Linked DNA regions of Tamandua tetradactyla. The protein of the gene in region 4 binds, or shares a complex with, the protein of the main gene of each other region. Links are inferred from orthologs where the notes say so. Each region holds a gene or a part of one and is shown on either strand. Other genes may lie near its edges.

Region 1 (7,786 bases), on a different chromosome or scaffold from region 4:
TAATTAATTAATGTTTTTTCTAGGCCAAATCTTAAACCATGTCAAATGTCATTTATACTCACTATAAACAAATGCCATCAATAAAGTAATCATCACAAGTTATACAACTTTTAAAGAATGCAAAAAGATCCAGAACCACCCCAAAGTTGTCTTTTTAAAGCTATCTTAATGAATGAAATGAAAAACCAACCACATCTTTTTACCTACATGACAAAGATACTAACAGTTTAACTATTTCTTATATAACTTAAGAGCTAACACACTTACATATTTATAACCGTGTAATAGCAAAAACTTTTCTGCACTCTGACCCCTAAATAGCTGGGTTCCAGTCCAAGCTACTCTAACTTGCTGACTGTATGACAATGAACAATGTCTTAACCTGCAAACCTCAGTTTTCTCTATTTGTAAAACGGTTTTTTTCATGATGGAAAAATGTGGTAATAAATGAAATATACACAAGAATTTACATTAAGTAGTTTGTGGACAAGAGTATTTACAGCTCAGGTTCAATCTATTCATAATTTAGTAGTTGTTTAAAATCCACTGATTAGAAAGAGGGTTTGATTATTAAAAAGTCTCAACTACCTAAATTCATAAAGGCAAAGAAGGGAGACTGGGAGGAATCTGCAAAATCATTTATACCTTAAAACTAGAGTCAAGTTTCCAAGAAAAAATAAAAGTTAAACTTACAGATGCACAACAGTTCAGAAATTTTTAAAAACAAACAAAACTATAGATTATAAATAGTAGGAATCTGCCAGGTAAATACTATTATCCACAAACTGATGGGTATAAGTTCTTGTGTAAATATTTTTAGAAGAATAAGTATACTTTTCAGTTGAAATTTTTTTTACTTTTAGTGTATTATGCTTTCAAAACTTATTAAGTAACCAGCAGCATAGCTGTGTGCTCTGTAGGATGCATGCCAACATGCATTTACCCATGAGTCCAGATGCCAATTTGCAGGTGTGAGAGAAAAAAGTTTACTTGAGTCCACTACCTCTTACAAATTGAGTATTTATGCAAGCAGATAAATTGTTTTTCCTTCCTCGTCCTTAACCCCGGTTTTTGTCAGCAGGTTGAGTGAACTTTTCTGAGTTCCAAAATCTCTTAAGTCTGCCGCAAGAGAATATATAACAGGCCTGCAAACAGGAGAGGGAAGGAAAATGGGGGCGTAACTCTTCTTTCCACTCAAGTTACAGCCCGAGTGGACTAACTACAGTGCAGTATTTGGAAAACCAATTAACTTTTGGACAAAGTTTCTATGCTGAAGTTTAGCCTGAAGCAAGTTCTTAAAAAAAATAAAATCTCCACAAATAAATCTGAGACGTATCGGAACGTTAACACTGTCAAAATAAAATAATTTCACTTCAATATTAAATCAAGTTGACAAAATAATCGAACGTTGTCTAGGTGGGAAAGCAGCCATGTTCACATCCTCAAGAACTAAAAAGCAATGGCAATAAAAATAAAAACTTAAAAAAAAAAAAAAACAGAAAGCAATGGCGATCCTAGAATTAGTCATAGCTTCCCAAACATTAACTTTTAATCACAGTTGAACTAGGCAGGACTCTGCCTATGAGTCAACCTGCAGAGTATTATTTAAGGCTGTGTTAAAACCTCGAGACGGGTAATGCGCAACTCAGTGCCTGGGTAACGTGCAGATGTGGCTAATTTAAAAGCATTTCAGCAGAATGTAAATAGTTTACAACTAGGAAACCAACACGTGAACCTACTAGGTTTAATAAGAGAGGGCCTGCCCGAGTTCCAGGTCTCAAGGGAAGCCAGGGGTGAAAGATCTAACTCCATAAACAACTTCCAGGAAAGCCTGGGCAGGGGAAGCCCGGATCCTGTATTCTAAAACCTCCGGGGCAGTGAGGGAAATAAATGCCTTCGGCCGGGGGAGGGGGAAAAAGAGCAAGAAACTAAATGGACTGGTTCAACCCCCACCCTCTAATCAACACTGGAAAACAAGAGAACAATTATTTGACTCCCCAGGAGACTGAAGTGAACCAGGAGGCCCAAAGGAAAGGGGGCCCAGGGCTCAACTTCACAAACTCGGCCGCCGCTGGCAACTCACCCACACACAAATGCCAGAGGCCCCCCTCCCCCTCCCCAGGCGCGGCGGGAGCGAAGGTGCGGAGCGCGCGGAGGCGCGCGCATTGTGCAAGCCCACCGCGGCCCGGGCGGCGATTCTCCCCACCCCCTTCCTTCCTCCCCACCTCCCCCTCCACTCCCGCCAACCTCCTGGGAACCCCGGGAAGAAAGAAAGAAAGGAAGAAGGGGAAAAGCACACTCCCCGGGGCTGCAGCCGCAGAGAGAAACTCCAAGGGGAAAAACAAATCTCGGCCCCCGACTCCCGGACTCGGTAACGGCGGCCGCGCGGGCGCCTGGAGTTGGCACACCTCACCGGGGAGAGTCCCCCTAGCCCCCGACAGACACCCCGGAACACCCTCGCCCCGGCCCGGGCTACGATCCCGATCCCCCGACCCCGGCCCAGGCCTGGGGCCCGCCCGACGGGGATGTGGGGAGAGGCGGCTAGGTTACCTGTCGGGAGTGGGATTTGGGCTCCGGCGGCTTGAAAAAGGAGTCGGGCAGTTTTCGGAGCCTCATGGGTACGGTTTGGGGCACGTTGGCTGTCTTGGGGTTCATGACGGCGTTGAAGAGCGCCTCCAGATCGGTCTCTGAGTCCCCCCGGACGTGCACGATCTGGTGCCCAGCGGGAGGGGCCTGCGGCGCCGCCTGGGACCCCGGGGGCGCCGGCTGCCCGGGCCCCGGCTGCGGTCCCTGCCCCTGGGGGGTCTGCGCGGGCGGCTGCCCTTGGCCCTGGGGGGCCGGCTGAGACGGCGGCTGCTGCCCGGGATCCATAGCTTCTGCCTCCCCCGACGCACACCCCCTAACCCGGCGGACGAGGGCTCCGCCCGGACGCCCCGGCTCGACGGGCCGAGACGCGAGAAGCGGCAAGAGCTGCGGGCCGGGCGGCGCTGGGCGTCGGGAGCGGCGCTCTCCTCGTTCTCAGGGCCGGGGGGCTGCGCGGCGGCCCCGCATCCCCCGCCCGGCGCCTCCGCCCCCGCCCTGCGCCCCGGCTGCACTGGTCTGGCGGCTGCGCTTCGGGAGGGGCTGAGAAGGACCCGGACCTGCGGCGCCTGAGAACTTTTTTTTCCTTCACCTCCCTTGACGGAGGCCGAACAGCTAGCTGCTTATCCCCTCCCCCTTTCTCTTTTATTTCCTTTTCTTGTTCCTTCCTTCCTCCCTTTCTTTTCCCCGGCGGCGACTGCGCCCGACTGAGACAGAAACTCGGCTCAGACGCCAAAACTAAAGTTGAGAGAACTGCCCGCCCGAGCCACTCGCCGGCTCCGCCTCCTCCCGGCTCTTCCTTCCTCTGCGCGCCCGCCCGCGCCGAATCCGCGACCAGCCGCGGAGGGAAACTTTCCCCTGCAAGTTACTACATTCCTGCAAGTTACTACATTCCTGCAAACTCCCGGCCGCACGTGACTAATTTGCCCTCAGTCTGGTCCTCCGCTGTGTATCCAGGGGCAGAAGCCGGGACGCAGAGGGCTGCCGGCCGGATGGAAACACTGGGCCCTCCTGGATCCGAACTGTGGTTGGTCTCTCTGGAGAACGCGGCCCGCCCCGCAGTCCTCGGGAAAAAGCTGCTTCCTCTTGCCTGGAGATACGAAATGGAAGGCCGAAAAAAGTTGGTATAGAACGTGGAAATCCATTTAAACCCGCCCCGCGTTAGCTCGATTTAACCCCACCAGTACTGCCAATTCTGGGTTAAAGCCGCAAGAATAGGTTGGAGTTAAAACAGATACCAGTAGCAAGCGCCGCTTTTAATAAAAATCTGTTTTTTAACACTAAGTTGGATTTGGTATTTTTTCACTCAGCTTTTAGCATGTGAGTATCCACTAGAAAGGGATATATGATTGCAGTGTTTAGATACTTCGGGGCATTGTGACTGCCTGCCTCTCATCCTGTCCGGTGAATTAAAGTACACGAGTTTCATTGTGTTTTTAAGTGACATCAACTATTGTAGCACTCAAACTTGCAACATAGTCACTGAAAACCTCAAAGCGAAAAATCAGTGCTACCTTTGGTTACAAACTTTCCTCGGTGTACCTGCCTTTCTTTCATCCTAGAGGGGGTGGGAGTCTACCCCTTTTTATCACTGTTGCTGGTACAATGCAGGATTCGGTGGATGTTGACTGAATGAGAAATGAATGGGCCAGGAGTACACCACTGGTCCTCAATATGGCAGTGCCATATATGCCTGGAAGTCACTTGAAAGCACCCAGGAGCAATCAAAATTTGTTTTCAATTTGTACTACCACTCTTCATTTTTTAAGAAACAGCTTGAGATATAATTCACATACCATACAATTCAGTCCATATAAATCAATGTTTTTTTTTTAGTTTACTCACAGGGTTGTGCAACATCACTCTTTAAATCTACTACCCTTTCTAAAGAAATCTGGCTGCTGCTTTTCATGATTTTATCTGCAATGCTAGTGAAACAAAGAAAGATGTATAAACAAGGAAAGAGCCCTTGACAAAAAAAAGATAATCTCTTCCTCCAGGATGTGCCCACAGAAATTCTGAGGGATCTGGTGGTGGAGCCGTGCCAGAGGATGATATTTCAGACTGCCAAGCTTCTAATGCCCTATGTTAATCAAGTGCTCTGGACCCCAATTTCCCATCTGAAGAAGAATCCCAGCATAAATGATGCCCACGACCCCTTCTTGGATTTTACCCCCTCTCCAAATGTCAGGTGCATTTAATCACAAGTTTGTGGGTTATGGAGTTATAGATATTTGGCTTCAGGTCCCAATTACACCATTACTAGCTGAGACATTAGACAAGTTACTATTTCCTCATCTTTAAAACTGGGGAGGAGAAGGATAATAATACCTACCTCATAGGTTGTTGGAGTATTAAATGAGTCAATGGGGATAAAGTGCTTAGCCCAGTGTTTAGTGTATGATGAATAATGTCAGCTATTAACACTGTCACATGTTCATACATTACTTCTCTCTCTCTCTCTCTCTCTCTCTCTCTCTTTCTCTCTCTCTCTCTCTCTCTCTCTCTCTCTCTCTCACACACACACACACACACACATACACACACACACACACACACACACACACACACTCCATGATATGGCCTCTTCTTTAGAGAGGAGTAAGGGTCCCTCTCTAAGCACAGCGTTATTAGCTGTCCTTGCTGGGATCTTGGCAGACCATTCCTCTCACATTCAACCATCCATCCATAGATCATTTGGGTAGAAACTATGCATTTAAAACTTTGAATGAAAATATTTTAAGAAGTAAAGTGATTGAAAATCTGAAATTGTAATGGAAGCTGTCCCTTAACTACAGCATCTACTACTGTGAACACTACAATTAAAGGGCTTAGGATAGGTACAGCAGAGGTTGCTTTGTTCAATATTGTTTCACCTGCCATTGAAATTGTGACAAAATTACTTGGATAAGTGGATTGGAAAGTTGTTTGGAGTGATTTTATGTTCTCTAAGTACCTTTGTACCATCAACCAGGATTTTTTAACTTGGTATTCCTCACCTATAAAATTTCAATCAGGTTAGAAAGGGATAAAAATAACATGTATTCAACACATTGTCCCCTCTCTCCATCCCCTTTTGGAATAATTACCAGTTTACGAACCTTAAAATGGAGAGACACCTTCTTCATATAAAGACTTACCAGGATAATTTCCAACGTCCATGTAGGTTATCCTCTCAAAACACTACTCTTAGAATTACTTGACCTCTCAACTCCACTGAATCCTCACCTCCACCCCACTTCAGCCACCTTCTCCTGTGTCTGCACCCTAACATCATCCCAAAATAACTCAGTCTTGAAATCAAACTCTTTTCTTAATTGTGAAAAATAACCTATATACAAAAAAAGCAATAAATTTCAAAGCACACCCCAACAATTAAAGAACAAATTCAGAGTTTGGCATGGATTATAGTTCCACAGTTTCAGGTTTTTCCTTATAGTTGCTCCAGATACTGGAGACTAAAAGAAGTATCAATATAATTCAACAGTAATACTCATTAGACAATTCCTATATTCTCTGTTATAACTCCACCTTCTCCTTTGATCTTTCTCCCAATCTTTAAGGGTATTTGGACTGTGCTCATTCTAACTCTTTCATGTTGGAAAGGGCTATTGATAATATGGGATGGGGGGTGGAATTACTTGATGTTCTGGAGAGGCTGGCCCCTCTGAGTTTCAGGACCCCATCTAGAAGTTGTAGGTTTCTGAAAGTAATTATAGTGCACAGAACCTTTGTAGAATCTCAGATAGAGCCCTAGGTGTTCTTTAGGATTGGCAGGAATAGTTTTGGTTGGGGGTTGGCAAACCATGGTAAACAGCAATATCTAGCTGAAGCTTGTGTAAAAATAGCCTCCTCTCGACTCTATTTGAACTCTCTAGTTACTGATACCTTATTTGTCACAATTCTTTCCCCCCTTTTGGTCAGGAAGGCATTGTCAATCCCACTGTGCCAGGGCCAGGCTCATCCCTGGGAGTGAAATCCCATGTTACCAGGGAGACACCCCTGGATGTCATGTCCCATGTAGGGAGGATATATCATTCTCTTAATATCCAAATGATCTTGTTTCATTACTCACACTGCATTTACAATGACTTCTCTCCTTTCTCCCAATCTATCACTCTCTCCTGTTTTCACTTCCTTTTCTATTCGTTTAGAGATAATAATCCATTGCTTCAACCTCTCATAAATATCTATGCTCTCAATTCCATTGCCTCATGTTTTCAATGAGCAGGATCTACTAAGCTGGATTAATCCAATTATCAGTCTTTTCCACTTCAACGTCCAAGGACTAGGGGACCCAAGCCGCTCTTTCATTAATAGCATCAATTGAAGCTTTTGACATTTTGTCCAGAAGAGATTATGCTATCATCTCAGAGATATACCTACACCATTACAAGAAGGCATTTCTTGTAGAACTTTAAACTTTGTCCCATAACCAAAGGACACTATCTGTAATAGATTATGGATTAATATTTTAAGTAAATTCTGTAATTATCTGGTGAGTAGCACAATTATATTACCTTGTAATTATTTGCAAAGTGTAGGCATTTAAAACATTCTCTGCTTCTGCAGTCCTCTCTTGGCATTTCTGACATGCTTGAATATACTGGGAACTTGAAAAGAGGAAGTGGCCAGCCCTCTTTCAGACCCTGGGAGCCTGGCTAACACCCAGGTTCCTGGGAACCGCTGAAGGGAACCTCACAGCTGAGTAGACTGGTCCCCTCCACAGGTATAGTCTTTAACAATGTTTCTATGGGTCCACAGTCAACTTGTCCTCCCTCATATCATATGGCTACTCAAAACTTCATCGCTCTCCTCATTATATGCATCCATCACCCCTTACCCTTCAGAAAATGATGTCATCTCCAACTGCTCAGAGAAAAGGAGGCCATCACAACAAAGACTCTGTATGTCATCCCCTGACCTCACAGAAACAGGTATACATGCTGACAGGCCCATCCCTCCACAGGTATGTTTTTAGGAAAAGCAGTCCACGTCTGTTCTTCATTTTCTCACCTTTTGTTTATTTACCCTGTGACTAACATCCGAAACAGAACTCTTTATCCTTACCCTCCCCTCTTCCAACCACATACATGCCCTTCCAGCCACACCCTCCTTCTGATTCATCATCTCAGTTAATGGCATCATGATTCACCCACTTTTTCATGCCCCCAAATTGGGTGCCCTCTTCAACACCCTGCTCTTG
Region 2 (7,690 bases), on a different chromosome or scaffold from region 4:
ATCTTTTTGCTTTTTACCTCCATTGTAAATCAAAACGCATATGACAGAGACTGTTAAGTTTTTACCAAATCCTTTCTCCTCCTCTTCCTGGGCACAATTAGAGGTAGCCATGTGACCAAGTTCTAACAGTGGGATGTGCTCAGAGGCCACTTCCAGCCTCTACAAGAGTCAGTGTACTTCTTCCACATCCTCCCTCTACTTCTGCCAGCTGGACCCTGTACGTGGTGACCCAAGCAAACAGCATGGCCTCATGAGTGATGGAGCCGCAAGATGGAAGGAGCCTGGGTCCCTGAACCTCATGTGAAGGAGGCTTCCCCCAAGCTGGAACTCCCACACCACACTACTATGTGAGTGAGGAAAAAAAAAGTACACTGTGTTTGAGTCATTACATTTTGGGATCTGTTGGAAGCATTCAGCTTACCTTGATTAATACAGTATGTCAAAAGATTTGGTGGCAGAGTTCCCAAATTCTACAAGTTTCTGGATCTCAGTTCTAACCCCACCTAGGACACTATTACATACAAAAATTGAAGCCTGATGAAGGTAATGAATTTGCTCAAAGTCACACAAGATGGCTAAGGTTAGAACGCAATGCTCCTGATAGCAATTAAATTCTCTTTTCCCTATGCCATTTTGCCTTCTATGGTCAATATGTTAAGAGCATGACAGGCTGTACATGGCCATGAGCTTTCTCTTTCATCAAAGGGGAAAGGGGAGGAAGAGAGGGACAGGATGCATTTTCTTGGCCTGACTTACTGAGCCATTAGCTACCTACAATGATTAAATTATCCGGAATGAACATGCAACTCCACATTAAATATAGTTGGATGACAGATCTGCTTAAGATTGTTGCTGTATTCATTACCTCAACTTAATGTAGGCAAATGTGATTGTTCTAGTTGCCGGAATACAATATACCAGGGACGGAATGGTTTTTAAAAGGGGAATTTAATAAGTTGCTAGTTTACAGTTCTAAGGCCGAGAAAAAGTCCCAATTAAAGCAAATCTATAGAAATGTTCAATCTAAGGCATCCAGGGAAAGTTATCTTGGTTCAAGAAGGTCAATGAAGTTGAGGGTTTCTCTCTCAAGTGAGAAGGCACATGGCGAATACAGTCACAGTTTCTCTCTCTGCTGTTAGGGCACATAGTGAGCAAGGCGTCATCTGCTAGCTTTCTCTCCTGCTTCCTGTTTCATGAAGCTCCCTGGGAGGCGTTTTCCTTCGTCATCTCCAAAGGTCGCTGGCTTGTGGGCTCCCTGCTTCTCATGTTTATGTCATTCTTCTCTGCTCTCTCTGAATCTCTCATTCTCCAAAATGTTTCCTCTTTTATAGGACTCCAGTAAACCAATTAAGACCCACCCAAATGGGTGTAGACACATCTTCCCTAATCCAGTTTACCAACCACTCTTGATTGGGTTACATCTCCAGGGAGATGATCTAATTACATACAGTATTGAATATGGATTGTTCTGCCTTTACGAAATGGGATTTTGATTAAAACTTGACTTTTCAAGTGTACATGCATCCTTTCAAACCAGCACAGTAATCATTCAGTGTTAGGGGACTACAGTGTCACCAGGTCCCTGCCAATTATCAATTACACTGTATTTTAGAGGAAAGAAGATGAAAACTGAATGGAGAGGTATGTTATTTGGCTGCTAGTTATTTTACATATAGAAATGAAATGCTGTGTAGCAAAAGCATTGATAATGAAGATGATGTTGAAATAAAAACTACTAATTTTCATTTAACGAATGCTCATAATTTACTGGGTACTGTGCAAGACTTTACATGTACCATATATATTATCTCATTTAATCCCTAAATCTGTCAATTTTGCTTCAATAACAAATAAACCTAAAATCTCTGTGGCTTATATAACAAATGTTTATTTCTGGTTCCTATTCTATGTACCTCCTCACAGTTTTTTATTCTGGGCCTAGACTGAAGGAACAGCCCTATTGGGACATGCCATTCTTGCGGCAGAGGGGAAGAGTAAAAGAGCTGGTGAAAACTTGCAATGACTAGTAAAAGCTTCTGCTCTGGTGTGTGCATTCCATCCACCAGTTAAGTTGCCAATGACCATCACAAGGCCAAGTCGAATATCAAGAGGAGAACAGAGAGCCAGGACTCCGCAAACCACATGGTAGCAAGAGAGGACATATAATCCTTATGCAGGAAATGGGGAAAGGAAACTATTGGGTACATAATAAAATCTTGATCCTGCGAGACAGACATTAAACTTTGCCCATTTTCAGAGAGAAAATGAGTAACTCTGTTAAGCTTCTTCCAGAGGTTGGAAATATCCCTTTCAGTTAGCGTGATTAGGGAAGCCTTTGTTAAAATACTGGCGAGTGGAGAAAGAGGAAGGACTTTTTACACAAAAGAAAGCAGCAGGAAACAGACATGAGGAAGAGTTCCAGTCAAATAAGCTGTTTGACCACAGGGTAGAAGAGAGATAAAACTGGAGAGGGCATGTGCCAGTTTGAAAGGATGTATCTACCCTAGAAAAGCCATGTTTTAATCCTAATTCCATTTTGTAAAGGCAGCAGTTTCTTTTAATCCCTATTCAGTACTGTATGGTTGAAACTTTAATTAGATCATCTCCCTGGAGATGTGACACAATCAAGAGTGGTTGTTAAACTGGATTAGGTGGAGATGTGTCTCCACCCATTCCAGGTGGGTTTTGATTAGTTTACTGGAATCCTGTAAAAGAGGAAACATTCAGAGAAAAGGAGAGGTTCTGAGAGAGCAGAGAATGGCATAGCCATGAGAAGCAGAGAGTCCACCAGCCAGCGACTTTTGGAGATGAAGAAGCAAACGCCTCCTGGGGAGCTTCATAAAACAAGAAGCCAGGAGAGAAAGCTAGCAGATGATGCCGTGTTTGCCATGTGCCTTTCCAGATGAGAGAGAAACCCTGACTGTTTTTGCCATGTGCCTTCTCACTTGAGAGAGAAACTGAACTTCATCGGCCTTCTTGAACCAAACGTATCTTTCCCTGGATGCCTTAGATTGGACTTTTCTACAGGCTAGTTTTAATTGGGACATTTTCTCAGCCTTAGAACTGTAAACTTGCAACTGAGTAAATTCTCCTTTTTAAAAACCATTCTGTCTCTGGTATATTGCATTCTAGCAGCTAGCAAATTAGAACAGGGCAGGAGCTCAGATCATGTGGGACCTTGAATGCTGTGCTAAGGAGCTTAACTTCACTTAGGAGGCAGTTAGAAGCCTTTAGATATTTTAGGACAAGAAAATCCTTTGATTAAAATGATCAGGTCTGACTAGGGTGGGCCAGGTGGGCTGAGGGGGGGAGAAATTGAGAGCCAGGAGATCAATAAGATCACTGCATGTCCAGAAGCCAGGGACAGTCTTGAAGTAGGGTAGTGTAGCTAGAATAGGGGAAAAGAAATGTCAATTCCAGCGACTCATAACCAGTGGTTTAAGAAATTAGATCCCCATCTCCATCATTCCCCCCAGTAGGCCCAGTAATAATATATTAATTAAACCTGTATCAAGTGTGAGTGAAGCATTCTTAATAACTTGCTTTTTATATTACTCTGTAACAGACAACATTGGTTTTAAAAATAAGAGTGCTATGCAAATAAAGCTTCAAGACAAGTTCCCATTCTCCAAGAGGGAGCTAGCTGCCCCTAAAGCCCCCTACATAGAAAACCTCCCACTGTCAGGGTTTAAATTAGATGTTGAGGAAAGGAGGAATCCAGGCCCAGGAGGAGGAGAGCCGCTAGCCAATTTCTGACTGAGGTATTTTCCCGGTGAGAATCTTCCGCAGGCGCTTAGGCAATCACAGCTCAAGCTGCACGTGACAGTAGAATGGTGTTTCAACAAACGAAATGAAACGTTCTGCAATACGATGAGCGCCATTTGAACTTCGTCTATTTTAAGATTTCATCTGAGGGTCACGATAAGATACATAATTGATTCAAATGCTCATTACTTAAAAACTGTACTACGCATTACAACTGAGTTAGTCTGTGCTAAGAGGATCTGTCAAGGAAAGAATTCACCTTGGTCAATAAGAAAACAGGTGAAGAAAATAGAGAAAGGAATCGGGTCCTAGAGAAACTGACCTCCGACAAGGGGAAGGCTTCCATTTCGGGAGACCCCCGGGAGGGTCGGGGGCTCGGGCCCCGGACGAGCAGGGCAAGGCTCCGGAGTGGACGGACTGAGAAGCCGGACTTGTGGAAACTCGTTCAGGGTCTTTCCAAGCTAGAACACCGCCCCAGGACGAAGGGAAGGGAGCGGGCGGCAGACGTGGTGGGGAGGAGAGGGCAGCCTGCCTTGCCCCGACCACGTTGGGCCGCCAAGCCTCGGCCCCGAGGGAAGAGACCTCTTAGACTAGACAAAGGCTCCAGCGGCGGGAGCCGGGAGGCTGGGAGTACGCGTGCGCCCCAGAGCGCGCGTGCGCGCGGCGGTCAGCGCTGCGGCCCTTGGCGTCGGAGGAGGGGGTCTGGAGAAGGGAAGCGCCTAGAGGAGTGAGCGAGGAGGCGGAGAAGGACAGAGAGGCGGGGTGCTTGCGCACGCCCTCTGGTGGCCGAGAAGAAGCTGCCCGCGGAGGCCTGCCTGCCCACCCCTCCCTTAGGGAGGCTCGCGCTCGGGCTGCTCGCGCCTGCGCTGCCCGCCGGCCTCGGGAGCGCGCCTTCTCGCCGGTGCGCGCGCGCGCGCTCGCAGTCACCGCCACCCACCAGCTCCAGCACCAGCCGCGCCGCCGCCGCCCACCTTCTACCGCCGCCACCTCAGCCACCTTCTCCTCCTTCTCCGCTGTCCTCTCCTGCCCTCGTCCTCCAGCAGGTAAGCGCCGAGGCTCCGAAACCTGCCTCTCCCTCTATCCCTCTGCACCGTACGCAGCTGCCCTTCGCCCCTAGCCCCGAAGATGGGCTTCAAGCACTTAGCACCGATGGAGTGGCCACGACAGGAGCCCCTCCCTACTCCTTTTGCGCTCGGAGGCTTGTGGCTAGGTCGGCTTGGAAAGGGACGCGTGCAAGGGATGCACGGACGTGTGTGTGAGCTCGGGGTAGGGGTCCGCATAATCGGCTTCGCGCAGACCTCAGTCCCAGGTTGCGCCCGCAGGGTGGGGCGCGGATGGCGGTGACCTGGGGGAGGGGGTTGCTCAGCATTCTCCATCTCCGCCTTTTGCCGCAATGGGCGTGTATCTGTGTGTGTAGAAGGTGGGTGGGTATCCAACGATGACCCCCGAAAGCGAACCTGTAATCCGATTTCTCTGTCCCTGTTGCCGTCAGCTCTAAGGAGGTATGGGTTGGGTTCTAGAAAAGATGATTCCCTGCGTGCCCCTCCCTACACCTCTCCGGCAGCGATTCTGATGGGGCCTTCGCTGCCCCTGATTTAAGGCGGTGGCCCGCCCCTCCCCCTTTTTTCTCCTTCAGAAATCCACAGGGGACATTTGGGGGCTGGGAGTAGCATAGGAGAGATGGGGAGGGGTCCAGGCGCTGTCACTTTAGCTGCCCTTCCCCTGCGCGCTCCTGGCACCGAGACGCGAGCAGCGCCGTGCCCGAGAGAAGGTAGCGCGCAGATCCAAATGTGGAGGCTCGGAAAGGCAGGGGTCACACGGCCTTGCGAGGTGGACTGAGCGGCCCGCCGATCCTTGCTCGCGGGCGCGCACAGGTCGCAGCCTCGCACAGACCTGCGCCCGGCTGCAGGTGCATTTCGGGCGGGCCCCTGTCCCTGAGCCATGCGCTCTACGCCGGGCGCGGGGGGTGTGCGCTCCCTGCCGGAAGCGCGGAGCCGGCGCGCGGGGCTAGCCCCTCACTGCGGCAGTGGGTGTGGACCCGGGTGGGCGAGGAGGGGGAGAATGGGCTGTACCTTCTCCCACCCCACCCCCTTTTTTTCCCCTCTGATCGCGAGGTGCCATCTTTTTGCGGCGTGTCAGGTCTTTACCGTGCACGCCGAGCCGGGTGGCCCGGCTTTTGGAGGAGCAGGGCGGGGACTGATAATTGGGGGAGGGAGACAGCGCTGAAATCTTGGCGTTTTGCTCCTGCAGGCGCGAATACTGGGGCTTTTCACCCGGGATCTTTCTCGGGGGTTCGTTGCTTTGTTTGTAGGGGTTACGTGATCTGCACCCCCAGTCCTGGGTTGTTGGTTTTGTTTTGTTTTTTTCCTTTTATGAAATAAGGGTGCTTTGCCACTGCCCCTCCCCCCTTTTTTACCCCTCCATTTCCGAGCCTTTTGTTGGCTCTCGGGGCTTGCTGGGATCGATGAACTCGAGTCACAGCCCTGGGGGCACGTATGGAACGGGCGTGTCCCCGTGCGTCCTCCTCCCGGGGCCTGACAGTCCTTGGGGCTCAAGGGGTGGGATTCGGGGTCTCATACGCTCCGAGGGTGACCGCAGAGAGACTACGCCACTTCCCGGTCCCCGCACGTTCTGGGAGCCACGCCCCACCAGCCTGCCCAGCGAGGGGGCGCCGGCGACCCCTCGGGAGATACGGGGGAGTTCGCAGGCGGGGCCTATCTCCTCTGGAAGCCCTGTTGCTTCTCCCGGCGAGGGAACGTGGTGGCGGTGGCGGTGGCGGTGGGGACATTAGGTTCCCCTGGGTGCTGCAGCCACACCCATCTTTCTGAGTAGGAAAGGAAATTAGGAATAGGATGGAGCATGAAGTGGGAGTTGTCATGGAAACCACACGCGTCCGGACAAGGGACCCTGGGGAGCTGCCCTGCCCCTTCCCAGTGGAGCTTGAGCACTGTAGGAGGGACCGTGCCCCCTCGGCCTCCTAGATGGTGCGTGGGGATCGGGATGCAGCCGGATTCCTCCACCCAGAGCCCGTGGCTCTGCCTAATTGGTCAACGGCGGCCTCATCCACCCAGACACGGCGTCGCTGTTGCTTTATTATTACAGCCACAGTGATGAATATTGGTAGGAACGTGCGGGATTTCCACTTAAAAGACTGGGTTCACCGGCACCCTTGAAGCCAGGGTGGAGGGAACCCCGGCGGGCAAGTCGGAACCTTGCCCTCGTAGAGTCTACACCTGCGATGAGTCCGGTCGGCGCGGTTCTCTCTGGTTCATTCTATCGCTAAAAAGTGGCGCGGAGTGCAGTTCTGAGAGGGATGGGTATTTAGGGGCCAAATTTTCCCCGCAGGCGGCCCAAAGTGATCTGAACTTCCGGGACTGGCTAGGCTAGGGGTCGAGAGCCCTCCCCGGGTCAGGCCGCGCCCCCCACCGGCTAAGGCGTTCGGGGGGCGGGCGGGGGGCGCTGCGAGGCCTCCCGGCTCAGCTGGGCCAGCCGCGGGGGCGCTGCGGGAGCGGCTCAAGGATCCATCGGAGCATCTTCTCTCTCGCCCCAACAGGTCTGGGCGTGGAATTCTCGCTCCAGACTGAGCGAAGGTCCAGAGCGGCCCTGGAAAAGAGGAGCCCGCGGCCAGGGTGTCACCTTCCGTGGTTGGGGGAAAGAGTGCCCGCGGGGGCGAGCGCATTTAGCCTAATACTGGGAACAAAGCACCGTACACGCGTCTGCAGTTTCGCTCCATTTTGAAGTGTGTTGGTTTGGTGGGGCGCGCAGGAAGGGAAGGCCTGGAGGTTGTTAAAGGTAGAATCCCTGGGTCCAGGAATGGTTCCTGCGGCGATGTGTAAACTCCATTCCTGGCTCCCTGCGCTCTCTGTACGCTTTAACGAAAAGCTTCGCCCCCGGAATGCACGCGCATGCAGTGTTTGCGCCGACG
Region 3 (7,655 bases), on a different chromosome or scaffold from region 4:
TCTTGATTTAAACCTCATTATACTACTTCAACACAGTATGATTTAAGTGCTCTTACCGTTGGCTGTACGGACATTTTCAAAGTTGCCAGTGTTACTTTAATTGGACTGCCTTCATAATTCATTGCCTCTGCTTCAACAATGTGCAATTCATCCTTTGCACCAGCCCCTAAACTGACCTGTGAACAAAAAATAGTCCCTCATCCTCAAGCTTCCGCTATTTTACAATCTGCCCCCAAATGTGTAAAGTTTTTAAAAAACTATAAACCTTTCATTATCACCATTGATGGAAAACTAATCTTCAATTTATGCACAATTTAAGTGTTACAGTTTTCGTGTGCACAAGTTCTCATATTCAGCGAATTTGAAGAAATGCATAAACATGGCATGGATAGCTTAACAAATACAGTAGAGCACCTACTACAAATTGAATGCTAGGTTGGTCTCAGTGAGGAATAAATGATTATAACTGACAAGAGGGCTTTATAACACAACTGATGAAGCAAAGTATATAAATAAGGAAAGCTAAAAAGTGATGTGACTATATGAAGAGTGGTAAAGATGCCCAGTACTGTCTGTATCACAGGTGTATATATTATCCAGTACTTATAACAACTAATCATAAAGATGCTGTTATCAGCAGTCAGGAAAACAGTGAAAGTCATAAGCCAGATAAACAGGATCCAAAAGGGTGAAATCAAGAAAGGTTAAGTAGTTTATTTTGAAATTTTAAGTACCGTTCTTAAAGATAACTGGTGCTCATTTTCATCATTATCCACCTTAAAGTGATAATCTTTGTCAGCCTTTAATTCACAACCTGTAATGAAGAAAAAAGTAACCAACATGAGCGAAAACTGAAACTGAAATTACCTTTACCATTTTGATAACTTGCAAACTTGTTTTTCACTTTACTATTCTAGCTTCCAGAGAGCAAGACAAAATGATCTCTTCTCAGATTTTTTGAATACAGAATTCTATAAACGTCAAATAAAATCCATACAGGGCTTTATAAATTCTACTTTTCCATTTCCCCAACTCATTCTCCACTACATGAGACAGGCACTATAACCATTCTGCTGCTAGAACTCAGCTCAAAGATTTACTTAACCATTATGAGGCCAAACTTAATGTACAAAGTTGATAATCTCCCACTATTTTAAAGTTATATTATCTGTCTAAACTGCCCCCCAAAAGCAGCAAATTAGAAATGGGGGAGAAGCCTACTCAAACACCAACAAACAAACCTTGTTACAAGGGCCTTCCGATTACCTTTAAGTTAACAGAAGGTGTTGTACATTAGTAATTCAGTAATCACTTCTAAAGCACAAGATATACTCCAGTGGTGTTTCCAATAAAAGGAACAAATATTTTTATATAAACTGGTTAGCAACTTAGAAGTAATGCCTTAACGTGCTGAATGTCTAAAATGCTAGATACATTTCATATAGGAATGGGAAAATTGTTTTAATACTGTCATAACAGAGTTAATTCAAATAATTCTATTTAATAAGCACTGTAACAGTTAACCGGATGTGCATGCTTGAATATTATTGCCCAATAAATAAGTCTTAGAACAGCAAATAAAGAAATCAAATTTGGGGCGATATTTGCACTTACTCCAAGGTTAAAAACCCTGGATATGGCCTGACTGCCCACAAGGAAAAGCTTTCAGTTAATAAGCCTCCTGAGACTGAAAACCAAAGCAGGCCTCTCCTTCAGTACTTACATATGGTGGGAGGCAAAAGCGGGCTGAGTAGGGTTATCCCTTGCCAGAGGGCTGCCTCCGCCATCCCCAACCCACCAAAGACAAAAGAAAACAAAAAAAGCCTCGTTACCCTATTTACACAGCACCGACAGAGCAACAAAGTCTCGGATAGGCTCTAGCATCCATTTCCTACAAGTAAATTCTTAAGCCACTTAACTTCTGAACATCAGTATCGTCATCTGCAAAATGGGGCTAAGACCATTAACGCAGTGACACAGAAAAAAGCCCTATAGAAGATTACTACCACTACTGTATGTGCAAAGAACTGCACAAAGATCTCCAGAACCCTAGCGCTACCAATCACTTCACCTAACGTTTCCCGCCCAACAACTCCAATTAAGCCACAACAAGATCCCTGGCTCCGGGTTGACATACACTAGGAGGCCCCGGATGTATAGCCCGCGCCTCCTCCTTCCCCCAACCACGTGGCAACCACGTGCTGCCAGCGGTTGCGGCCTCCTCTCATCCCGCTGTGCCTCCCCTCCCCCTTACAACCGGCCAAGAGACCAAGACCGAGAGTCAGTAATACAGCCCTGGACGCTGAGATCCGGAAACCTGGCGAAGCCTCTAACTCCAGCCTATAGCTATTCTCTTCTGCAGAAAAATAGGCTCAGGCCTCCCCAAGAGCCCACACGACCTTCTGGACCAATACCTGGGGATCCAGCAGCAAACATACTGGCCTAGAATCAAAGACATACCAACTCCCACGTGTCTCGACAAAGAAAAAGCCGGAGCTCTACCGCATACCAAGGCAAAGCCAAACCTTCACCCGGTTCTACCTCGCCCTCACGCACTAGGCCTCAGGCCCCAGGCTTCAGGCCGCTCCCATTCCCCCACTTCCTGCCGCAGGCTTTCCCAAGCTCCGGCATCGGCCTTCCTCGCTCCCCATCCCTCAGGTTCCTGGGCTCCCACTGCGCCCCTCCCTCCCTCGGGCCTCCAGCACGCTTAGCTTCCTCCACCAGCCCAAGCCTCAGTAAGATCTCCATTACCCATTCTCCCCACCCCCACCTCAAAGCCACCAGGCCCTGCTCGACCTCGCTCCAAACCTCCAGCAGTTACCGAAAAGATAGTTCTGGGGCCTCAGGGGGCTCATGTCCATGTCCATCGAATCTTCCATGGGGTGGTGGCAAGCACTTAAACAGGTGAGAAGACGGACGGAGATAGACAACCACTGTTGCAAAGAACAGTCGCGCAGGACGGACTCACACCAGGGAAAGGACGCGCGCTCCCCCGCGCATTTATATAGATCCCTGTATATCTCGCGAGATCCTCCAAGTCCCGCCTCCGCGCGCGTGCTTGGGAGCCCCCTCCTTTTGCAGTCGACCTCCCGCGCAAGCGCTCTTTATCCCATCTTCTTTTTACCTCACCCCTACCTCCTCCAGGTACTTCGCGGGCTTCCACCGAGCACGCGCACTCTTACCCTGGCCCCACCCTTCCGTCGCCCTCTTCTGTGCGCACGCGTTTCCCTTGCCGGGCGCCTCCACCTCCAACCCGTCCACGTCCGCTCCGCTAGTCGCACGGGTCGCACGCCCAGATCCTACGCAGCCCACCCTGCAAAATGGCGACGGCAGCCCCCAGAGCTCTTTTAGGTAGGAGGTTGATCCTGTTTGTAAGTGTTCAGAGAGCCGCTCGGTTTTCCTTTCTTCGTCCCCTCGTGCCCCGGAGGTCTCCAAACAGGCACGCTCCAGGATTTTTTACTTGCCTGAAGGCCTGAGTTCGGAGTTCATTGTTTCCCCAAAGTTAGAAAAGCTAAAGCTGCCAGAGACAGAGTGAACTACAACTTTTCTGTTGCATTGCGCTGGGAAGAAAAGAATTAGCTACTAGCCGAACTTAACTCACTTACGTCTTTATAGTTGTCCTTTCGCTTCTGGGGCCAAATGGGACTGTCATCCCTCTCCACCGCGCAGGGCAAGGGACCATACGTGCCTGATTTTTTTCAAAGAAGCTTTTTAAAGGACTGTGTATGCACAGTATGTCCATACAAGGCCTTGTGAAGTATATGTGACTGTCCCCATTATGCACACCAGAATACGGGCCGAGAGGTATGAAATAACTTGCCAAACGGAGAAAGTGAGACAGGGAACTAATTGATTCTCTAGCTCCAGGGCAACCCAATGAATGCTACATCATTCTTAAAAAGCTTTTGAGGATCCACCCTGAGATAATGCAGTTCTTAATCTTCAGCATGCCTCTAGAGCGAAGGCGTATGACTTATACGACTGCGTAAACTTTAATTAGAATCTTTGAGAATGAGCTTGAAAATAAGCATCTTACACAACACCTTGACAAGTTAGGGTCCCCTAGTTTAATTTTTACCTCACCAGATCAAACAATAAATTTAGGAAATACTGTGGGAACTGAAAATAGTGATATTGATGCCCCCACTCCCTTTTCTACAAATATAATCTAGTTAGGAAGGTCAGCTATAATATAAATAAACCAATTATTAATGAACAGAATCCAGATCCTAAATTTAGAGAATCCTTATGCAAAAAGACAAATCAGATAAGACCAATATGTGGAAGGGGCCAAGTTGTTCCCCACTTTACCCCCAATCCTAACAAGAGTCTTTGTTCTTGGATCTTTTGAGATGCAGAATATGGCCTAATTGCTAGAGAAAATACTGAAACTTGAAAGAATATGTATGTAAAGGACTAGGAAAGGTAGAGAAACAGGAGGATCAGATTGAGGAGAGTTCATTTAGAATGAAAAAGTGAAGATGAGCTATAAGAGAGTGAAGGAGGAGGTGTTACTGTTTTTTGATCCACTCGAATAAAGGTTGAAATTACTTTGCAATTTCTTTCTGATTTCAGGGTCATTATCATTTTAATGCAAACTTGTACAGAGCCTGAACCAGGTAGGAGCTGTGGCTCATGAAAATAAATACATTTGTTGTTTCTAATGTTTTAGGCATCTAGTCTGGATATGATCTCATGGAGTTAAGCAGTTAGAAAACCCACTTACTGCATTTTTCAGATTTACAAATGTAATAATGCTCATTGTCTTTTAAAATAGAGTGGTATAGGCCTGTACAAAGTGAAAAATTACAAGTGGCTCTCTTTCCATCTTAGAATAACCACTGTTAATTGTGTGAGTATCCTTCCAGCTAACTTTATATGTTTTAGAGAGGGAGAGAAAGAAGGAGGGGGCAGACTATATAGTTACATTTTGTTTGTTTCTTTCTGAAATTCTGGGTAATTCACATCTTATTCAACTTTCTATAGTCAAAAATATATTTTGGACATTTATCCACATTAGTTCATAATATGGCTGTGTTATAATTTAACTGTCCATTCCTCCACTGAGGGGCATTGAGTTTGTCTCCATAATTTTGCTCTAAAAAATAATGTCTTAGTAAAAATCTTTATGTATATATCATTATGGATATCTAAAAATACTTGTGTAGAATATATGCTAAAAAAGAACTTACGGTAGAAAGGCAGGTATTACTTATGAACATATGTACATATAAATACATCTTTTTATTGTTGACATGAATAGATTCACACTTCATGTATTTGTATATTGTTCTGCAACTTTGTCCCTTCACTTCGTGTGGCTTAGCTATCTTTCCATTATATAATAGAGTCCAACTGTATTATTTTTTTATGAGTTTCATAGTATTCCATAGGATGAACATACGTCCTATTTTTAAAATTCCAGGTTTTATTTATTCCTTCATTTTTAACACATTTATGATGGAAATATTCAAATACATAAAAACAGAAATAATGCTATGGTAAAAATCCATTTACCCATCATCTAACTTCAACATACAGAATCTTGTTTCACATATACCTTCTCCTTCCCCTTCCACCTCCATCGGCCTCTTTAAAGAAAGTCCAAGACATTTATCAGTTCATCTAGAAATATCTCAGTACCTTTCTTTGAGAGATAAGAACAATCTTTAAAATCTGAACATAATACCATTGTGATTCAAATAAAAATTTTAACTAATTCCTAACATTATGAATTACCTAGTTTAAATGTCCACAATTGTCTTTTCCAGTTTGTTTGAATAAGGATCCAAGCAAGATCTATACATTATACTGAGATGTTTCCTTTAACATGTCCCGTTATCCCTGAATTTTCTGAAAGTTAGTAGGTAGATCTTGAGCTGCACTGTCTGATGCTGTAGCCACTAATTACATGTGGCTATTTAAATTTAACATAATTCACATCCTACCTCCTCACTGTCCTCATTCTCCTCGTAGAATGGCTATTATTATTTTTTAAATGGAAAATAATAAGTGCTGTCGAGGAGACAGAAAAATAGAAACCCTTGTACATGGTTGGTTAGAATGTAAGATGGTGCAGCCAGTGTAGGAAACAGTTTTGCAGTTCCTCAAAAAAAACAGAGCTACTATATGACCCAGCAATCCCACTTCTAGTTATATACCCCAAAGAATTGAAAGCAAGAACTCAGATAAACGTTCACCAATGGTTATAGCAGAGTTATTCAGAATAGCCAGGAGGTAGGAGCAACCCATGTGTCCATTCCCAGATGGATGGATAAACAAAATGGGGTATACATAAACAATGGAATATTACTCAGCCTTAGAAAGGAATGAAGTTCTGATAAAATAACACTACATGTATGAACCTTAAAAACATCATGTTTAGTGGAGTAAGTCAGACACGGAGGAATAGATATTTTAAGATTCTACTTATGTGAAATAGCTGGAGTATGAATAGAGATAGAAAGTAGAGTACCTGTGAGAGGAAGAGTGGGGAGTTACTGCGTATGGGTGCAGGGTTTCTGTTTGGAGTGATGAGAGAATTCTGGTAATAGATGATGGTGAGGGTAGCACAACGTTGTTTATGTGATTAATTCCACTGAATGATATACTTGGAAGTTGTTGGGATAGGAAAGTTTATGTACGTTTGTTTCCATAATTTTAAATAAAGGGCAACTAAAGAGATGATGACGATTAAATGCAATACATAAGCCAGGACTGGATTTAATAGTGGAGGAGAAAAGTCCCAAAAAAACAGTACGAGGACCTATTAAAAAAAAAAGTTGGAATTGGAATATAAACTGTAATTTTATATCAGTGTTAAAGTTCTTGAACTTGATAACTGTACTTAAGGTGGTTACATGTGAATGTCCTTGTTCTTAGGAAATGCGCGTGGAAGTCTTATGTGTTCAAGGAGCATGGTGTATGCAAATTACTCTCACGTGTTTGGAAAATTTGGTAGCTGGATAGACAGACTGCTACAGCAGGTGTGGCAAATGTTAAAATTGGAGGTCTGGGTATCAGTGGGGGTGGAGTGTTGGAGTTCTCTATATGGATTTTGTAAAACTCTTGCAAGTTTAAATTATTTCAAAATAAGTTTAAGGGGAAAAAAATTCAATTCCTCAGTCTCGCTAGCCAAGTATTCAATAGCCACATGTGGATCATGACTATGGTATTGGATAGCACACCAAAACATTTCCATCATCACAGAAAGTTCTACTAGGCGGTGCTGATCTAGAGGCTTCTAGACTTATTGGCAAGAATACTTCCTGTTGCATTAGGAGACACGTATTGTCTGGTGTGTCTCTGTTTTGTAATGTTAAGTTCAATCAGGTGGTGTTGACCTGATTCTTCCTTTATCAACTCACCATTCACCACTCATCTTTCAGTTAAGAGTTTTAGTGGATTGTTGCTTCAATCCATTATTTCTAATTCTGTCACTCCCTCTGCATTTATTATCTGAAATTCTTTTATGAAGGTTGTCAACTAATTGGTTACCCTGAAAACAGTAGGCAGGAAAATCGTTGTCTTTCCCCTTACCTTTTTTCAGAATAACAAAGTGGAACCTTAATAGTCTCCAAAGGGGGCTAGTTTTTTTGTTTGTTTTCCAAAGGTGGGTAATTTTTAAAATTTTTCTTTATGTACACATTTTTAAT
Region 4 (5,827 bases):
CGCCTCTTTCCCAACAGCGCGTTTCATTCTGTTCTCCCCTCTCCTCAGATCTGAACTTTTAATGGCGGCGTCATACCCTTGCCTCATACTCCCTTTCCCCGCCCAGATCTGAACACTTAATGGGACTTTTCTTGGCTTTCAAATCTGGAGCGCTCGTGCTAGGGGCCTTGTCCTGAGACCTCAGCCTGAGCCCTCGCTAGTTTCCTGCCTCCTCAGACCCAAGCTCCCTGGCTTCCTGCACTGAGGCATCCCTCACCTCCCTTCAATCTGGCGGAGGAGTCTCACCCTCGCCTTGGCCCAGTTTGTTTGGGGCCAGCCTGACGAGAGCTGGCCCATCTGCCTCTCATCTCGAGCCACCCCCCCACACACACACCAAAATCCCGTCTGTGGGGCCTGAGTTGGCCCTTCGAGGAGGTCGGGACCCTTAAACTAGAGCTCCAAAGTCGGTCTCTGTAAATTATACACCAATCCCAGGCCCAGCCCACCGACAATAACTGGAAAAGACAGGAGTAGTGTCACAGGGGATCTTTATTGAGAGGAAACATGGTCACACCCAGCAAACATGCTTTCCCTCTCATTCTCCATCTTGCTCTCACACTCACACACACGGTCACACACACACTCATTCCCAACCTCCCCACCACAGTCCCCTCTCAGACACAAGGGTGGGACACTCCTCAATTCCGAAGATCCAGAGGCAGCAGGGGCAGGAGGGAGGCAGGAGAGGAAGAAGAAGAAGAGGCCCAGGTCCCAGACGGGATACGGAGGAAGGGGTGCAGAGAGCTGGGGCAGGTGGGGAGATCAGTGGTCACAAGCACCTGACAGCTGAGATGCTGTGGCTCCAGGTGGCCTCAGCTCTGCTGGTTCCTCTCCATGGAGCCTTCCTGAGCTGAGGGCAGGGCATTAAGGGAGAAGGGTCGGGCCTCCCACCCCATACGAGTCCTCTCTGCCGGGGGTGGGGGACTGGAGAGGGTGGGGTAGGGCAGGGTGGATGGCAGGCCCGGCTCAGCTCTGGGGCTCTTCAGGAGCCTCGACCCCTTCCTCCCCAGTGTTGTCGGCCGTCCACAGCGTCAGGTTGTCTCGCAGCAGCTGCATGATGAGGGTGCTGTCTTTGTAGGAGTCCTCGCTGAGGGTGTGCAGGTCAGCCATGGCCTCATCGAAGGTGGTCTTGGCCAGCGAGATGGCCTCCTCGGGGCTGTTGGCAATCTCATAGTGAAAGACGGAAAAGTTCAGGGCCAGGCCCAGGCGGATGGGGTGGGTGGGCGGCATCTCCTTCTTGCTGATGTCCATGGCCTCCTGGTAGGCCGACCGGGCTGAGTCGATGATGCGCTTCTTGTCATCACCTGTGGCCACCTCAGCTAGATAGCGGTAGTAGTCGCCCTTCATCTTCAGGTAGAAGACCCGGCTCTCGGCATCACCCGCCTCCTTGATGAGATGGGTGTCCAGCAGGCCGAGCACAGTGTTGCAGACGCCTTGGAGCTCGGTCTCCACCTTCTCCCGGTACTCTCGCACCTCGGGCCCTTTCTCTTCCGAGCCCTCCTCATTGCTTTTCTGCTCGATACTGGACAGCACCCTCCAGGCGGCCCTCTGGCCACCGACCACGTTCTTGTAGGCCACAGAGAGCAGGTTGCGCTCTTCACAGGATAGCTCCTCACCCTTCTCCACAGCGCCCTTCATGAAGGCTGCCATGTCCTCATAGCGTTCAGATTGCTCTGCCAACTTGGCCTTCTGGATCAGACTGGCTCTCTCCATGGCTCTGGGGACAGTCGTACAGGCGCTGGGCTTACTAGCTGCCTCAGGACCAATGCTGGACTCAGCTCTGTGCCTCTCCTGCTTTCCGCCTGCCTTTTGGCTGGGTGGCCTGGCCCAGAGGAGGGTGGGGAGTGGTAGGGGGAGGGACTAAGGCCTGGGACCTACTTCCCTCTCCTCTTCTCCCCACACCCTTTCCGGCTCTTCCTTAAAGGTAAAAGGGCCAGGACGTGGAGGTGAGTCATCAGAACAGTCAGCAGGAGAAATGCAGGAGTGGGCCCCACCTGCACCAACACCTTTTGGGGCTCCTGGCTGCCTCCTCTTGTTCAGGACTGCCATTACACGGGTGTTCCTTTTAGCTGTCTGGGTTTCTCATATTAGATCCTCCTTCACAGCATCTTTCCAGGGGAAACAGATGGCATCAGCCACCTGGCTACTTAGCCCAGGCAGTGCCCATATAGACAGGTACAGGAGGATGGGGTTCCTCATCCTGCCTCCTTGGTTCAGATGAGGTAACTCATGTTTAGGTGGGATTATACAGTTTCCCAAGCACTTCATATCCATGATCTAATTTTTTTCCTACTATGGCTTTGTAAGGTGGGCAGCACTGTTCCCACTTCAAAGATGGAAAAACTGAGGCTCAGAGAGGGATGAAATTTGCTCAAGGTCACATAGCTAGTAAATCCCTATGACTCTCCCTTCTGTACCCTACTTCCTTTGGTTTCTCTCCCATCAAGGCCTTTTATGATCTGTGAGCTCCAGGCTGTATTTAGACCCTGAAGAAGGTCCCAAGCTCTCGTCCTCATTTCCCCTCAGGGTCCTGGTCCCTTTGAGCTCCCAGACTACAGAGGTGGCAGCTTTCAGGGTGCCACTTAATGAGGTGTTTAACAAGCGGCCACTGACGCTCCAATCCGGCCTTTGTAATTAGTCACGCAATAGGTTTGTCAGGCACCTTCCCTATCACAGCACAATTTTCCCTTTCAAGTCAGTGGCCTGTTGCCACTTGTTTGAGGACTTACTCTCTGGCTCTCTGTGCTAGGCCACCTGCCCCCTCCAAGCCACCTGCCATCATTATGTATCAGCAGGGCTCATGGGGGGTGAGGGCCCAGTTCCTTGGCTGTCCCACTTTCCTGCCTGACTCAGCCTGCTCTTCTGTCAGAGGGTGGGAAGCAGACCACGTGGGTACTCAGCCCGGTCTGATTCCCCAGGGGGGACGCCAGCAATGTGGGGAGAGAGACAGTACTGAGGAAATGGAGGTGGTGGTGACACATACCATTTTGTTTTATGGGGCATCAATCCAGCATATACTCCTTCCTCAGCCTAGCCTCTCAGAAGTTTCCCTATCCCTTCCCTTTGCCCATTACACCACCTCTGACCCCTGGCAGAGGTCCCAAAGATGGAATCTTCTCCTTGCCAACCTTCTGTCCCTGCTCACTGAGCCCTGCCCTCCAGTCATTCCAGAGTTTCACCTAAGGGTATTGGCACTGAGCCTATGAGAGTGGATTCCTCTTATCTGCCCCACCCCTAGCCAAAGCTCATCTGGGACTCAGGGGAGGGACTGCCCTTGCTGGAACTCAACCAGTCTAATCCTTGAGCTAGGACCGCTTTGCAGGGCTGTGCCTTCCCTGGTTCCTCTTGGTATCTGAACACCCACCCTGCCCTCCTGGAAGGAGCCCAAAGATGAGGTATGCCTCTTTGCTTCATGGAAGAGTAGGGACATGTCTAGGCTTATGCCTAGACCTAGGTTTTCCAAGGAAGCAGAAAGGATTTTAGGCTAGACATCCCAAAGACTCTGCTCAATTTGGAGCACTGACACAGAAAACGATGGAAAGGAAATACACTAAAATGTCAACTTATAGAGGGTAACTTTAGATAGTGAGGCTCTGACTTTTCTGCTTTGGGATTTTCCTATCCTTTCCAAATTTTCAGTAGTGAATATGTATCATTTTCTATGAAAGACAGAACACAGCCTAGTATCTTTGGATGGACTGCTTGGGTTCATTCACTACAAACTGTTGTGGCCTTGGTCAAGTTACTTAATCTCTGTGAGCCACAGTTTCCCTAAATGTAAAATGAGACTTGTGAGGATTAAATGAGTCCAGGGAAAGCACTTGAGAGTGGTGGTGACTACAGTAACTATTATTATTATGTGAAAAAACCAACCAACTTTCTTATATAAACATATTCACACAAAGCATTAACATGGAGCTGGGTTTATGAAATGAGGAAGAGCTGTCAACCAGACCTCAGTCGAAGACCAGATGTTGCCCAGCTGGGCACCCACAGGAGAGAGAAGGAGGCAATGTTGGCCCACATTCTCCCCTCTCCAGCTGAATGAATGGACAGATGTGCTGAAACCTTGCCTCTTCTCTCTCCATCTAGGACATTCCTCTGGTCTAAGGAAGGCTGTGGGCCCTCAAGTACTTTCCTTTGCACTAGTCATTTAGCCAGGCTTTCCCAAGTCCTGAGGGGAAAGCTCGAGGTCCCAGGGTACCAGGAAACTTCTTTGGACTCCAGGGAGTCCTCCCTTCCCACCATTTAAGCCAGGGGACCTGGTGGTGATTCATGCCAAAGCTCTATGCCCTCAGCACAGCCCCAGAGCAAGGGAAAGGAGTCCCCCTTCATACCTGCCCCTCCCCTGCCGAAGCTCAGGGGTGAATCTGGGAGACAGGTTGCTAGAAACCTCTTGCTCGCTCTGGCCTGTCAGTCCTGACTCAGTTCCTGCACCTCCCTTTGCCTCCAGGCTTCTGTTTCCCAAGTCCAGAGCCCAGACAGGCAGGAGGCAGCAGGTCCTGGCATAGCACAGAGCTCCACTGTCAGTCACCTGAGTCAGCAGGACAGAAGTTGGGGCTGCTGCTCAATGGTACTTTCCCCATCCCTTCTACTAACCTCCCCACCCCTCCACACAGCATCTGTCCTATCAGCAGCCTCAAGGTCTCTGGGCCTATAGACAATCAATTCCTAGTGGAAGGGTTGTGACACAGTAACCAATTGCTATCTACTTTCACAAGAACAGAGAACAGGGCTTTGACTGCAGTAAGAAAGACTCTAGTTAGATTCAGAAAGAACTTCCTAGGAAATTTTTCAGTCTTGGAATGTTCGAACTAAAAGGTGACACGAGGAGGCTATGGCACCTTCTTCCCATTTAGTTGTGAAGAAGAGGCTAGTTTTCCAGCTCTTTTAGAGCTCACTACGGTAGTTGCCTTTGGGAGCAGATACATTTTAAGAGACTCAGCTGTTTTGTTTTTTTCTCCTCATGGTACTGCTGTTTAGAGTATCCCTCATTTCCTAAACCAATCTAGTCTAGGAGATAGTGTGGAATTTGTAGAAAGAAAATGGTACGAGGTCAGGGTATAGGACTACATTCCAGCTCTGTATATAAGGCCTTGGGTAAGTCTCTGCCTGCCTCTGGGCCTTGGTTTCCCCATCAATACAATTTGAAGAGGCTGGCCCAGATTTTTTCTAAGCCCCCTTTCTGCTGTCTCTGACATTCTCCTCTGTTTGGGTCACTCCCTCTGCAGTGCCCACTCTCCTGGAACAGCCCTCATCACTCCTTAGGTAGGGCAGACAGGCCAGAGATCAGGGCAGGGATCAGGTGCAAATCCTGGATTTGCTGCTTTACCAGCAAGGTGACCAAGGGCAGGTCCTGTAACTGCCCTGAGCTGCAGTAAAACAGGACTGACAGCACCTTCGTCATTGGTTAAGGTAAGAAAAGGGGTCTGGTGTTTGGTCAGTCCTTGGTAAATGGTAGCTGTGATTATTTTCTAGCTCTTGCACACTGTATGTGTTTGACTGGATGTTGGGCAGCAGCTGGGGACAGGATAAATTCCATGAGATTGTTACCCTGGGTGGGGCTCAATTCAAAAGTGTGACAGCCACGAACTGGGGCTAAACTCTCTGTCTCAGCCTGGGTTTGGGGATCCCTGGAACTGAGACCGGAGTTGTGGAGGTGCAGAGTGATAAGGATGCTGGCTACTCTTGTCTCTTTTGGCTTTATTGTGTGTGTGTGTGTATGTGTGTGTGTCTTTTAAAATCTCTAGACAAGCTGGAACAAAGCTAGAGGTGAGAGATAGCCATA

The links.
Region 1: the proteins of SFN (region 4) and YAP1 are in contact, whole or in part, in a crystal structure (PDB 6G6X), measured with the Homo sapiens proteins. The link is inferred for Tamandua tetradactyla from reciprocal best matches to the Homo sapiens genes SFN and YAP1. Residues at the interface, in NP_006133.1 of Homo sapiens: Lys11, Glu14, Cys38, Glu39, Asn42, Leu43, Val46, Lys49, Arg56, Lys122, Arg129, Tyr130, Gly171, Leu174, Asn175, Val178, Glu182, Leu218, Leu222, Asp225, Asn226, Leu229, Trp230; in NP_001123617.1 of Homo sapiens: Ala125, His126, Ser127, Ser128, Ala130, Ser131, Leu132, Gln133.
Region 2: the proteins of SFN (region 4) and MAPT are in contact, whole or in part, in a crystal structure (PDB 4FL5), measured with the Homo sapiens proteins. The link is inferred for Tamandua tetradactyla from reciprocal best matches to the Homo sapiens genes SFN and MAPT. Residues at the interface, in NP_006133.1 of Homo sapiens: Asn42, Ser45, Val46, Lys49, Arg56, Arg60, Phe119, Lys122, Arg129, Tyr130, Glu133, Gly171, Leu174, Asn175, Val178, Tyr181, Glu182, Ile183, Ile219, Leu222, Asn226, Leu229, Trp230; in NP_058519.3 of Homo sapiens: Arg528, Thr529, Pro530, Ser531, Leu532, Pro533, Thr534, Pro535.
Region 3: the proteins of SFN (region 4) and NPM1 are in contact, whole or in part, in a crystal structure (PDB 7OBG), measured with the Homo sapiens proteins. The link is inferred for Tamandua tetradactyla from reciprocal best matches to the Homo sapiens genes SFN and NPM1. Residues at the interface, in NP_006133.1 of Homo sapiens: Lys49, Arg56, Arg60, Lys122, Asp126, Arg129, Tyr130, Glu133, Gly171, Leu174, Asn175, Val178, Glu182, Ile219, Leu222, Asp225, Asn226, Leu229, Trp230; in NP_001341935.1 of Homo sapiens: Trp288, Gln289, Trp290, Arg291, Lys292, Ser293, Leu294.

Annotation. Positions count from the first base shown.
Region 1 is NC_135334.1:40,798,959-40,806,744, forward strand, and holds the start of YAP1 (transcriptional coactivator YAP1), read right to left. Parts: upstream 3,022-7,786; 5' UTR 2,872-3,021; coding exon 2,551-2,871; intron 1-2,550. UniProt on the Homo sapiens protein: Transcriptional regulator with dual roles as a coactivator and corepressor. Critical downstream regulatory target in the Hippo signaling pathway, crucial for organ size control and tumor suppression by restricting proliferation and promoting apoptosis.
Region 2 is NC_135332.1:20,798,960-20,806,649, reverse strand, and holds the start of MAPT (microtubule-associated protein tau), read left to right. Parts: upstream 1-4,687; 5' UTR 4,688-4,808; intron 4,809-7,690. UniProt on the Homo sapiens protein: Promotes microtubule assembly and stability, and might be involved in the establishment and maintenance of neuronal polarity.
Region 3 is NC_135346.1:52,611,274-52,618,928, reverse strand, and holds the start of NPM1 (nucleophosmin), read right to left. Parts: upstream 3,002-7,655; 5' UTR 2,880-3,001; coding exon 2,822-2,879; intron 815-2,821; coding exon 735-814; intron 177-734; coding exon 57-176; intron 1-56. UniProt on the Homo sapiens protein: Involved in diverse cellular processes such as ribosome biogenesis, centrosome duplication, protein chaperoning, histone assembly, cell proliferation, and regulation of tumor suppressors p53/TP53 and ARF.
Region 4 is NC_135328.1:199,376,808-199,382,634, forward strand, and holds SFN (14-3-3 protein sigma), read right to left. Parts: upstream 1,920-5,827; 5' UTR 1,753-1,919; coding exon 1,006-1,752; 3' UTR 511-1,005; downstream 1-510. UniProt on the Homo sapiens protein: Adapter protein implicated in the regulation of a large spectrum of both general and specialized signaling pathways. Binds to a large number of partners, usually by recognition of a phosphoserine or phosphothreonine motif.